Linked DNA regions of Xenopus tropicalis. The protein of the gene in region 3 purifies or fractionates together with the protein of the main gene of each other region. This does not show direct contact. Links are inferred from orthologs where the notes say so. Each region holds a gene or a part of one and is shown on either strand. Other genes may lie near its edges.

The links.
Region 1: the proteins of pak2 (region 3) and git1 purify together in Homo sapiens (affinity purification with mass spectrometry; 5 studies listed by BioGRID and IntAct, with this or other methods). This does not show direct contact. The link is inferred for Xenopus tropicalis from reciprocal best matches to the Homo sapiens genes PAK2 and GIT1.
Region 2: the proteins of pak2 (region 3) and git2 purify together in Homo sapiens (affinity purification with mass spectrometry; 3 studies listed by BioGRID and IntAct, with this or other methods). This does not show direct contact. The link is inferred for Xenopus tropicalis from reciprocal best matches to the Homo sapiens genes PAK2 and GIT2.

Annotation. Positions count from the first base shown.
Region 1 is NC_030678.2:32,816,624-32,820,090, forward strand, and holds part of git1 (ARF GTPase-activating protein GIT1), read left to right. Parts: intron 1-523; coding exon 524-600; intron 601-1,311; coding exon 1,312-1,494; intron 1,495-2,617; coding exon 2,618-2,681; intron 2,682-3,316; coding exon 3,317-3,467. UniProt on the Homo sapiens protein: GTPase-activating protein for ADP ribosylation factor family members, including ARF1.
Region 2 is NC_030677.2:147,407,306-147,411,722, reverse strand, and holds the start of git2 (ARF GTPase-activating protein GIT2), read left to right. Parts: upstream 1-1,614; 5' UTR 1,615-1,779; coding exon 1,780-1,831; intron 1,832-4,417. UniProt on the Homo sapiens protein: GTPase-activating protein for ADP ribosylation factor family members, including ARF1.
Region 3 is NC_030681.2:129,785,837-129,789,491, reverse strand, and holds part of pak2 (serine/threonine-protein kinase PAK 2), read left to right. Parts: intron 1-2,447; coding exon 2,448-2,548; intron 2,549-3,252; coding exon 3,253-3,403; intron 3,404-3,655. UniProt on the Homo sapiens protein: Serine/threonine protein kinase that plays a role in a variety of different signaling pathways including cytoskeleton regulation, cell motility, cell cycle progression, apoptosis or proliferation.

The DNA.
Region 1 (3,467 bases), on a different chromosome or scaffold from region 3:
GCCACCCTATTTCTCTCCTGTAATACAGGTTTTTAACCCCTTAACCACTAGTGACCTTTATGTTTCATGTAACTTAAAGAGCCACAACAGAATACTAAGTGTAGCTAAGCATATACACAACATACTAAGGGGCCTATTCATTATGCTGTGTAAAATAAATGGTGAATTTTACCGTCCGTATGCCACATTTCACGCTGTTATTTTATGTAAGTTCCAGTGGAAGAAAAAAAATGCATTTAAAGGATTCTGCAGTTTTTAACATGGCGAGTCCTGGCAATGCGTGGCGAATTTTGTTGCCCTGTTTTACACAGCATAATAAATAGGCCCCTTAGTGTAGCTAAATATATACACAAAATACTTAGTGTAATACATTTTGGAACAAAAAGCTTTGGGCAAATGGCAGGTTTGAGCCTGCATTACCAGTCTCTCCATCCATACTGAACGCCCTATTGGGACAGAGCCTGGGACTTCCAGCAGCCAAGTTGTAGGAAAATGAGATTCCTAATGTTTGTTTTTTCCCCAGCCTACAAAACCGGAGCGGCATGGCAGCGGCACAGACAGTGACTATGATAATACGCAGAGCACAGAAACCAGCAGCGGGTATGTGACAATGCAAGGGCAATAAATGAACCCTTTGCCGAAGTGCCGCCTATTAGGATACATCATGTATCTGGCATGGGGCAAAGTAATTGCTAAAAATACTCTGGGGTGCTTACAAGACTGGCTGTTGCTATATATGGTGTAGGAGCTGGTCACCAATGTGGCAGTTGGGTTACTCAGACCTTTTGCTAATGTTTTCAAAAAGCCATCTTAATAGCTCCACATATTTTGCTTTACTGAAAAAACATCCAGTTTGTTAAATAAGCAGCATCAACTCAACCAATGCATGAAGGGCAAGGAAAGGTAATATCACTGGGGGGCCAGTTACCTCAAACATATGGTTGTCAACTGAGTATGGATGGTGATAATAGCTAGCAGAATCACTGAACCATCCAGGGTTAGAAATGTAAATAGCCTTTTTATTGGAAATTCATGGCTTAGATCTCCGACTCCAAGCAATGTTTCAGGCCCTAACCTGGCCCTTTTTCAAGTGACTTCTACTACCAGTTCTTAATTCAGTTGACTTTAAGCTACAGAAGGTTGCTGAGCCCTGACTAATTATACAGTTGTATGGATGGTAATAGGGCAAGCAGGGATCTGTAGGACATAGGGATGTGTTGTGCACCCCTGTGCTATAGCCGTAACAGTGATAGTTCCACTCTCTCCCAGTGCACAGTGGGTAATGAGCTCTGTATATTGAACTCTTTCTAGGCTCGATGGCAGGCGGTACCTGGATGTGTCCCGGGATGAGGATCCCCACACGGAGGCTGAAGATGTGGAACTGGAGTTAGACCCTGCCCTGCCCAGCACAGAGGATGTGATCCTTCGAACAGAGCAAGTTACCAAAAACATCCAGGAGCTGCTGCGGGCTGCACAGGAGTTCAAGCACGACAGGTGAGGGAGAGCAGCGGCACAACTGAGGATCATTTGCAAGAAAGCACCCCATAATAATACTGCAGCAAACTAGGGGGTGTTGCAACAGACATTGGGGCAGCATTTATTAAAATAATAGTCGCAGGGAGAAAATACTATTCTGCAGCACTGTCTAATAATACACAGTATCTTTGCCTGGATTTGGGACCTTCTCTGGCTTTTTTTTACAGGGAGATTGCACTATATGGGATCAGTGAGCAGCAACTGGATAGGATGGGCATGCAGGAGAGATTTCAAGGGAAAATAAACAGGCTTTTGGCATGAACTCATTCCACTTTATATAAAAAGGGTGCATAAACACTACAACAACCATGATAATCTGCCTGTGGTTATGCACCATTGTCCTTTTATATTCAAATGAATGATTTTATGACAAAAAGAGGGGGGTTTCTATAGAAGCTTTCATTAAAAAGCAATAACAACACATTTTAATACAGTGTGAAACATGGCCTAAGTAGATGATGAGCAAAGTTGGATTTGCAGCAGGGCACATCCTCATGGCATTCTAATAATAATGAGAATTGGTTGGGGGGGTAGGATAGCGGGAGCAGCATCAGAGAATGTTAGGAAAATATGGAGAGCAGGAAAGGGAAAATCAGAAGGGAAAAGGGGAAAAGCAGAATGGAATAGAAAGGTTGAGAATAAACAAAATAATGGATGAAAATCAATGGCAATGAGAGAAAAAGAACAGAACGGGGATGTAATAAGCAGGCTGCCAAATAGGAGAGCGGCAGAAAGAAGGGTGCATTGGAGAAAATGGATGTTGAGAGAACACAAGATGTATGAGAGAGAAGTTGGTATACAGTAAAAATCAAATAAGAGGATAGTAAGGAAGAAGAATAGGAAAGGGGAGAGAAAGGGAGAGCAGGAAGGGACAGAAGGAGACAGGGAGAGCAGAAGACAAAGGGGAGGGCAAGAGGCGAGAGAATGGGTGAGTAAACAATATGCTTTCCTTAGTTTTGTTCATGTTGGCTTCTTACTGTATTGCTCCACATGCCCACTCATGTACCAAGTGAGCTACGTTTGCCTGCATCGCTGGCTTTGGCTCCTGCACTCAGTTTCTTTCATTCTGCTTTTTATTTAGCTTTGTCCCTTGCTCGGAAAAGATTCACTCAGCAGTAACGGAGATGGCATCTCTCTTCCCCAAGGTAAGCGCCTTCTACTCACACAGGGCAACATTATAGCCAACCAGTTGTCTGGGAGTGGCTCAGTTTGTTGCTCCCCTGCTAAACTCAACATAGCCAAGAGTTTTAGGGGTGCTGGGAGTTGTTAAATACTTACAATGTCAGCAGGCACTCATAGATCCGACAAAAGAGGTGTTTAAAGTTAAAACAGACTTTAATAGAGGAGAAATACAAAAAGCCTTACATGTTTGGTGCTACACAGTACTAACTTACTATATACATATATACGATATACTATATACATATATATACATATATATATATTCTATACAAAAAGCCTTACATGTTTGGTGCTACACAGTACTAACTCAGATTTTATATATATATATATATATATATATATATATATATATATATATATAATATATATATAATATATATATATATATATATATATATATATATATATATATATATTAGAAGAACTAAAGAACTAATAAGAGCACAAGTAATCAAGCAATAGAAAATGAGGGCAGAAAAGTATTTGTGTATCTGTGTGGATGTAACTAGTTCCCAGTGATGTAGAAGACATGGATCCCCTATGCAGTTGGCCAGTGACTCTCTAACCTCCACTGTATTTTCTCCTGTGTTTGTGGCAGAAACCTGCCCTGGAGACAGTGCGATCATCACTGCGGCTACTGAACGCTAGCGCCTACCGACTGCAAAGTGAGTGCCGCAAAACCATCCCGCCAGAACCTGGGGCCTCTGTGGACTTCCAACTTCTGACACAGCAGGTCATCCAGTGCGCTT
Region 2 (4,417 bases), on a different chromosome or scaffold from region 3:
ATTATTATTAACATTTATTTATAAAGCGCCAACATATTCCACAGCGCTGTACAATAAGTGGGTTTCATACATTGGACATACAGAGTAACATATAAAGCAATCAATAACTGATACAAGAGGTGAAGAGAGCCCTTCCCAAAAGAGCTTACAATGTACAAGGAGAGTGGGCTTCTATTTAGTACTGGACTATATTATGGTAGTTCTTAACTCCTAAACTTTGAAAAACCAAAAGAGGGACAAAATGAATTTGGCTAGGTCCACATTCTCAAAATACCATCCAAAGTAAAAACACACCCCTTTTTACATGTTAGAATAAGATACACTAAGGCCCTCACATACATATTGTAGCCCCCAAGCATTAAACAAGACACAGTTCTGCCCCTCAGATACAGTGGTAAATTAAAAAGGGGGGCTGTTCATCTAAAATCAGGACAGTTGCTCAAGTCGAGTATGTTGTCTCAACTGTTAGCACCTTTCTATAACTAGTCATACGAATTCAAAAGTTTAAATCAAAGAGGGCATGGCTATGAGTTTGGATGCAGGTCAATGACATGTAGGAATGGGTGATTGTGTAAAAGGGTGGGGATTGAAGAGTCCCAGTAAAATTTTGTTACAGTTTAACCTGGAAGACAGTTTTGAACTTACCAGCCTCAGGGAAAACAAGAAAGGTGGCAACTTTAAGCAAACCACATTATTATTTCAACTGATATATACTACCAACATATTCTGTAGGCCTTTAAAGAGATTATACATCATTCTTATCAGTGAATGACATTCACACAACACACTAGTCAGTTTTATCAGGGGGTACAAAGAGGAATTTCACAGAATCAGAGCTAGAGAACTACTTGCACATAACTAGCTGAATGGAACTGATTATATGCCCAATCGCTGGTCACTCCTTATACTACAGTTGCAGCCACCTATACATGTTGCGCCTATAGGAAAGAAACATGTACCTGGGTGCCTTTTGTCCAGATGCAAAAACAATAAATATAGAAACTGATAAACACTAGTATTGTGCTTGGAAAAGCAAAAACAATATTTGTTTTGATATTTACAAAAGCACAACATTCGAGTGCAGCATGACGCTATTTCCAGCTGTTAAAAAGGTAAATAGCAACTAAAACGAATTCTTATACCAGGTTTTGAGAGGGGGATCATTGAAGGGATGGAATGACCACACACAGCAGAATATCTCAAAACCCTGTTGACTGGCCATTTGTTATCTACATGCGCACGCAAGGAAGGATTCTAAGCGCTAAACATCACGCAGCCGGAAGGCCAAAAGTTTCACACCCAATCACAACCGTAGAAGTCGAATTTTGGAAGATGATTGGCATTATGCTAGCAGCGACTGCAATGTGCGTAACAAGGACGCAAGCTTTCCTGTGACTTGAAGGTGCGTCCAAGACAAACGTGGGCGGAGAAAACGCGAGTATGTTACCATTGTATGGGAAGGGCTTATTAGATGGAACTGGAGATGCGGGGCTTGCGTGGGTGTGGCCTGTCTAGCCTGTGTGGGCGGGGCGTATCACAGGCTGGGCTTGCTGTGCTTGTCTGGGCTATGTGGGCGTGGCTTGCCTTGCAGTCCGTCGGAGTCCGTCAGTTCGGGCTGGGTTAGCTTGTTACATCGGATTTTTTTTTCTCTATACGGCGCTTTGTATCCCGCAACCCGAGGCCCTTCTTTTTGTGCTCAGCGCTGCTGCTTGCACACTAATTCGCTTCGTTCTAGCGAGAGAAGTTCTCCAGGGGCCCTCCCCGGGGCTGCCCGCCACCATGTCCAAGCGGCTGAGGAGCCCGGAGGTGTGTGCAGACTGCAGCGTGCCGGGTAAGCAGCGAGCCGCCGGGTGTCACTTGCTTTAAGAAGGGGGTCCTTGCGTGTCAAACCATTTTGTGGTTGGCAGGCGTCACGGAATGGGGGATGGCGACATTGCTATAGTAATTACGCAGTGTTCCGACTCAACTACAACTTCCAGCATCCTCCGAGAGCCCAGAATCAGACTGTAGATTTCCCATTGAAACTCAGTGCATTGTGGCATGGGGGCTGTGCTGCCCGCGGGCCTGTGTGTGTTAGTGCTGCCTGTGTGTGTTAGTGCTGCCTGTGTGTGTTAGTGCTGCCTGTGTGTGTTAGTGCAGCTCTGTGTGTGTTAGTGCTGCCTGTGTGTGTTAGTGCAGCTCTGTGTGTGTTAGTGCTGCCTGTGTGTGTTAGTGCTGCCTGTGTGTGTTAGTGCTGCCTGTGTGTGTTAGTGCTGCCTGTGTGTGTTAGTGCTGCCTGTGTGTGTTAGTGCTGCCTGTGTGTGTTAGTGCTGCCTGTGTGTGTTAGTGCTGCCTGTGTGTGTTAGTGCTGCCTGTGTGTGTTAGTGCTGCCTGTGTGTGTTAGTGCTGCCTGTGTGTGTTAGTGCAGCTCTGTGCTTCAGCTCTAGTCGTGTCAGTGGTGCTGGGTGCGCCTTTGGCACCCATGGGAGCTGCAAGCTCAGGGGGCACGTGTTGCTGGGTGTCTTGTTTGCCCGCTGTGATTATTAATCTAGGCCTCATGTGGCTGATGTGTCACTTGTGGGCTTTTACATTGTGGGGCTTTCTTTAATGAGCTGCTGTATATGGGTAGGATTGTTTAGCAAGTGGGTGCTGTGCTAAATAGCATATATTGTTCACACTTTTTGTATTCATTGTGTGTATTTGTGGCATGATATTAGAAATAGCAGATCAAGGCAGTCGCTAAACCTAGGCGGAGAACATTGTTTGGGTGCCCCATACTTGCCCCTTCCCAGCCTCCAGTGAAAGGACCAGCAGCGGGTATATTAATGCTTCAGTTGTACTGGTTTGTAAGCATATAGGCAAGATTCATTCAATTATTTCATTCCTTTCTCTATGATATGAATTGTGATAATGATTGTACTTGGCTTGTGTTGTCATTTTTATAATGCCATTCTTGTACAGGTATGGGACCTGTTATCTGGACACCCATTATCCAGAAAACTTCAAATTACGGAAAGGCCGTCTCTGTTATAAGCAAATAATTTTGATTTTTGAAAATTATTTCCTTTCTCTGTAATAATAAAACAGTACCTTGTATTTGATCCCAACTAGATAATTAATCCTCATTGGGGGCAAAACAATCCTATTGGGTTTATATTATTTAAATTATTTTTAGCAGACTTAAGGTATGGAGATCCAAATTACAGAAAGATCCCTTATCTGGAAACCCCAGGTCCTGAGCATAACAGGTCCCATACCTGTACTACTCTTTGTAAAGTGCTGCAGTTTATATTGGCATCAAACAAACAATAATAATAATTGGAATAAATAGAAACAGAATATATTTGTAACAATCAATAAATGTTTAATTTTTCCCAAAATGGGACCCTAAACACCCACTGCTCATAGGGGGACTCTCTCTCAGTGGCACAGTGTAAGTGTTATTTTTTTTAGGAAATAATTAACTCTGTGCAACTGCACTGGGTACTTTAAGTTCAATGATAATGGAAGGGAGATTTGTAGTGTGGTGATCCTAGAGCTGCAAAATGCTCTAATTAGCCGTACGCCCATTACACATATAGAATTTGTTTGGATCTGATCACAGCAGTAATGGAATAGCTGGAAAGCCAAGTACAGGTATCAGACCCCTTATCCGGAAACCCATTATCCAGAAAGTTCTGAATTACGGAAAGGCCATCTCCCATAGACCCCATTATTAGCAAATAATTCCAGTTTTTAAAAATGATTTCCTTTTTCTCTGTAATAATAAAACAGTACCTTGTACTTGATCCCAACTAAGATATTAATACTTACTTTAGCCAAAACAATCCTATTGGGTTTAATTACAGTTTAAATAATCTTTTTAGAAGACTTAAGGTAGGAGATCCGAATTACAGAAAGACCCCTTATCCGGAAAACCCCAGGTCCCGAGTATTCTGGATAATGGGTCCCATACCTGTACTTGTACTTTGTTCTTCATGTAATTGAAGAACTTGAAATCACTAAAAATTACCATAGACTATCCATATGGAGCCTTATATGCAAAGGGTTATGTAATTTTGTAATGAAAAGGGACTTTTCATACAAAAATACACATTTTTATGTATGGTAAAAACCTTTGCCGTCACAATGATATGTTACCAACTGTTGCATAGAAATACCTGCATAACAAAATGACGTGTCGGAGTAGTTAGGTTGTGCAAATAATTGTCAGAAAAACCATTGTTTATGTTATGATGCCAGTAACTGCATGGGTCACTTCTTGGCCCTTTTCTTATTGTCAAGGAAAAAACATTTTACATGTCCCAGCTTTGTGGTGATGACATTATTTGTATGTGGGGCTGAGGACTCTTCTCTGAGCAATAGGGTTTTTTTTCTAAATCTGTTTGAACATCTCTTGATATGTTTTACACATTTGATTAACTATAACAAATTGCTA
Region 3 (3,655 bases):
AGATTATTGACAAAATCGAAAGGCAGCCATGCTGTGTGGTGCCTCTGTTTAACCCATGGCCAATGATTGTACAATATCATGGGTTGGCTGATGGATAGACTTCTGTAGATTCTTATCCAATAGTATTTTCAAACTGCTCAGTAGATATATGGGCGATAACTACATATTTAGGCCAATAAGCATCAAAGTTCTGGAACCATTTCGCTACATAATTTAACAGCAATAAAAAGCTTTTAAGTTCCTTATTTAAGATACAGAGGTGATTGTGGCATCTGTAAAAGCTACATGTGTAACTGAAACCTCATTGCATATTTGTTTGTACAATTCTATTTGCCATAGAACTGAATCCACTATTTTGGCGTTCAGCCGAACCACCAAATCCTTTGTGAAAGATTGGGCGAATACCAAACTGAATCCAAATTTTAATATATAAATGAAGATACCGAAGGGTTAAAGAGAACCGCGCGTGGTGAAGAATTTTCAACTTCCGTCACATTTTAAGGATTCAGTTTGGCCAGGCACATGGATTCGGCCGAATCTGAATCCTGCTGAGAAAGGCTGAATCCCAAACAGTCTCCTGGATTCGGTGTATCCCTACTTAGAATGAGAACCCTCCCTGAGTTTAAAGTGACTGCATGTGATTTGTGTAAGGTTCTTTATAATTACATGTGAATAGAGAAAGCATGAATGTTCCAAAATGTAATCATGCCAAAATTTCAGTGCATAAAAAAGACTTTATTTTGCTTGATAGTTTCCTTTTATTTGTTCCTTTTATTTGTCCCATCCATAATTTTAACAGTTCAGAATAGCACCTGAAAGACAGGTGTAGGTCACCTAAAGTAGAACATTTGCCCAGATGAGGGAGCATCCAGGGAATACTGCAGAGATCAGGAGTAAAAAATACAAGCTTGCTGAATGAGCAGATTGGAATGCACACGTCTATCATACACGTGTGCTGAACAGATGTCGGAACACTAGAACTTGTATTACATATGGATTTTCTGCATCCATAGGCGGAATATAGAATCACTTTGAGATTCAGATGCATCAAAGAATTATAAAAAGTTTTGGATTGGAATTGGTATCCTTACTACCAGATCAGTTATGAACCCTTGTTATGTGACCTTACTACATTGAATGGTTAGAGACGATATGGTCTCGCACAAGCTGCATGTTAGTACTGCTGCATTCACATTTAAATATGGAATTCTCCAAGTAAGTTCTGCCTGCATTTTGGGCATGGTAGATGTGAAGGAGATCACATACAGTCACAAAGTATGTACAACCCAAGTTTTTATTTTATCTTTATAAAAGTGGACACATCAATATTTAATTTTCATAAAGAATGTGTGTGCATATATATGCACATTATTCTCTAGTACAATAAAGAATTTCTAGTAAATTGTATGATGTCCTACCAAGGCCCTGATGCAGCAAAACAGCTTCAAACCACCACCATGCTTTACAGTTAATATATTCTTCTGGCTGTTTTTAGTTTTCACCAGACATTTCTTCTGGTACTGTAAAAAAAATAACTTCTTTGTCCAGAGCACGTTGTTGCAGAAGCCCTTTCTTATATGTTTATAAATAAATTAAGTCTTGCTCTGATCTTTCTGGACAGTACAGGCTTCTTCACTACAATTCCCATATACATCTTATTCGTAAAACTTCTTTATAACCGTAGACTTCTGCTCTTCATCACATCAGTAGTTGGGTGAACTACAGGTAGTTCCTATGATTAAATTCTATGGCTTTTAGAGGCTTCTTTTAGTATCTTGGTTTATTCTCAGTCTAAACTTACTGAGGCAGCCTGACCTGGGCAAGTTAGCAGTTGTTTGAAATGTTCTTGACTTCTGGATGATCTTCTAGACAATTAAATGATCCATTACACCTTATTTATACCCAGGCTAAGGCATGGACTACAAAATGTGAATGGTGCATTAATATATTTATAATTATTGTTGAAATAAAGATCAAATATCTGAGGAACAAATAAAAAATTTTCCATGGGATGTTCAATGTGTGGCCTAGGATTAGTTCCTTATTGCAACAAATAAACGGGTACACTTTGCTGGTCTGCTGCAGAGTAATGCAAATATCTGATTGTTTCCTGTATGTTGGTTAACCTGTACATTATGTGTTTCTTATGTCTAAAGCATTGATAGTGTTTCAATAACTGTATTTATCTTTTAAATTGTTTAATAGCCTTATAAATCACTCTGTGTAACAGTAAGTCTTGTGCCACATAGGGTGTTACATTTCTACTGGTGTTAAATGTCTTCAAATAAGTCTTTTTTTCTACATTTATTTACTAATCTGCTACTAATCTCCATGCATGACATAAGCTTAACTAAAATGTATTTTAATCCTCAATCATGAGATGTATATATGTAAAGCGCATGTGTTTTAAAAAAAAAAAAAAAATGTTACTATCTGTTTATTGGCAGGAAGCAGAAAAAAAGAAAGGGAAAGGCCAGAGATTTCACCACCGTCAGATTTTGAGCACACTATTCATGTGGGCTTTGATGCTGTCACTGGAGAATTCACTGTGAGTTTCATTACTGTTGATCATGTGGATATATTCTACTGCAAACTAAACAAGAAATTATATATGGCAGAATTCCTGGGAAAAAACTCTCAAAATTGACACTTTGCAGAATATTTCTTATGTATGCTTTAGGGTAGACTAGCAAAAGCTCACAAATATGAATGCCAGGGGATTTATGGACATTTTTTAGAAAGATTACCCTTAGTATGGCAAGTAAATACCCCAAAATATATGGTATTTTATACATTGCATATGGCTTCTAGGCAAGTTTAGGGAACAGCTGGTGTGCCCTGTTAATGTTCTAATCAGACAATATGTGGTGCACACAGAAGCCAAGAATCTCTGCCTACAGATTTCTGTGCAATATGGAGATCTTTGTGGCATTGCAACCACTTTTAAGCTACATTGTAAACATTATTGTCTTTGGCACTAAACCATAGTTGTGCAAGTTGCTTCCTTCTCCATTTGATCAAGGTATCTTTACTTTGTGCTGTGCTATTTCACTTTATGCTCCGCATTCTTTTAGATCTGGTACACATTATATTCTAGATAGTATATAGTATTCAATTATCAAGAAGTCAGATTAGTACAAATTTTTTTTCTTTGAGAATTTTTTTGGCAGTAAGTTCTATATAGGGTTTATTAGGTAAGTGCCCCATTGATGCATTTGTGTCTTAACCGCCTGTCATATTTTATTGTTATAGGGAATGCCAGAGCAATGGGCACGGTTACTGCAGACCTCAAACATTACTAAACTCGAACAGAAGAAAAATCCACAAGCTGTCCTGGATGTTTTAAAGTTTTATGACTCCAAACACACAGACAAGCAGAAATATCTAAGCTTCTCTGCACCAGGTAAAAGTGGCAAACGGCTTCCGCATTTTCCTTAGGTTTATGGCACGTGTTGTTTAGAGAGTAATGTCTGTCTCTTGACAGACATGACAAAGCATACCTGCTAAAACAAAAATTTAATGTAATCCCATAATTTTCATATAGTACTCCAGAATAGGCTTTTTCTATTTATTCTACCATTTTTGGGTTAAGGTTTCATTTACCCTCTCATTTTACCCAGTTAGCAGGTCAGTAAAGGGGTGCTACATTAGTTGA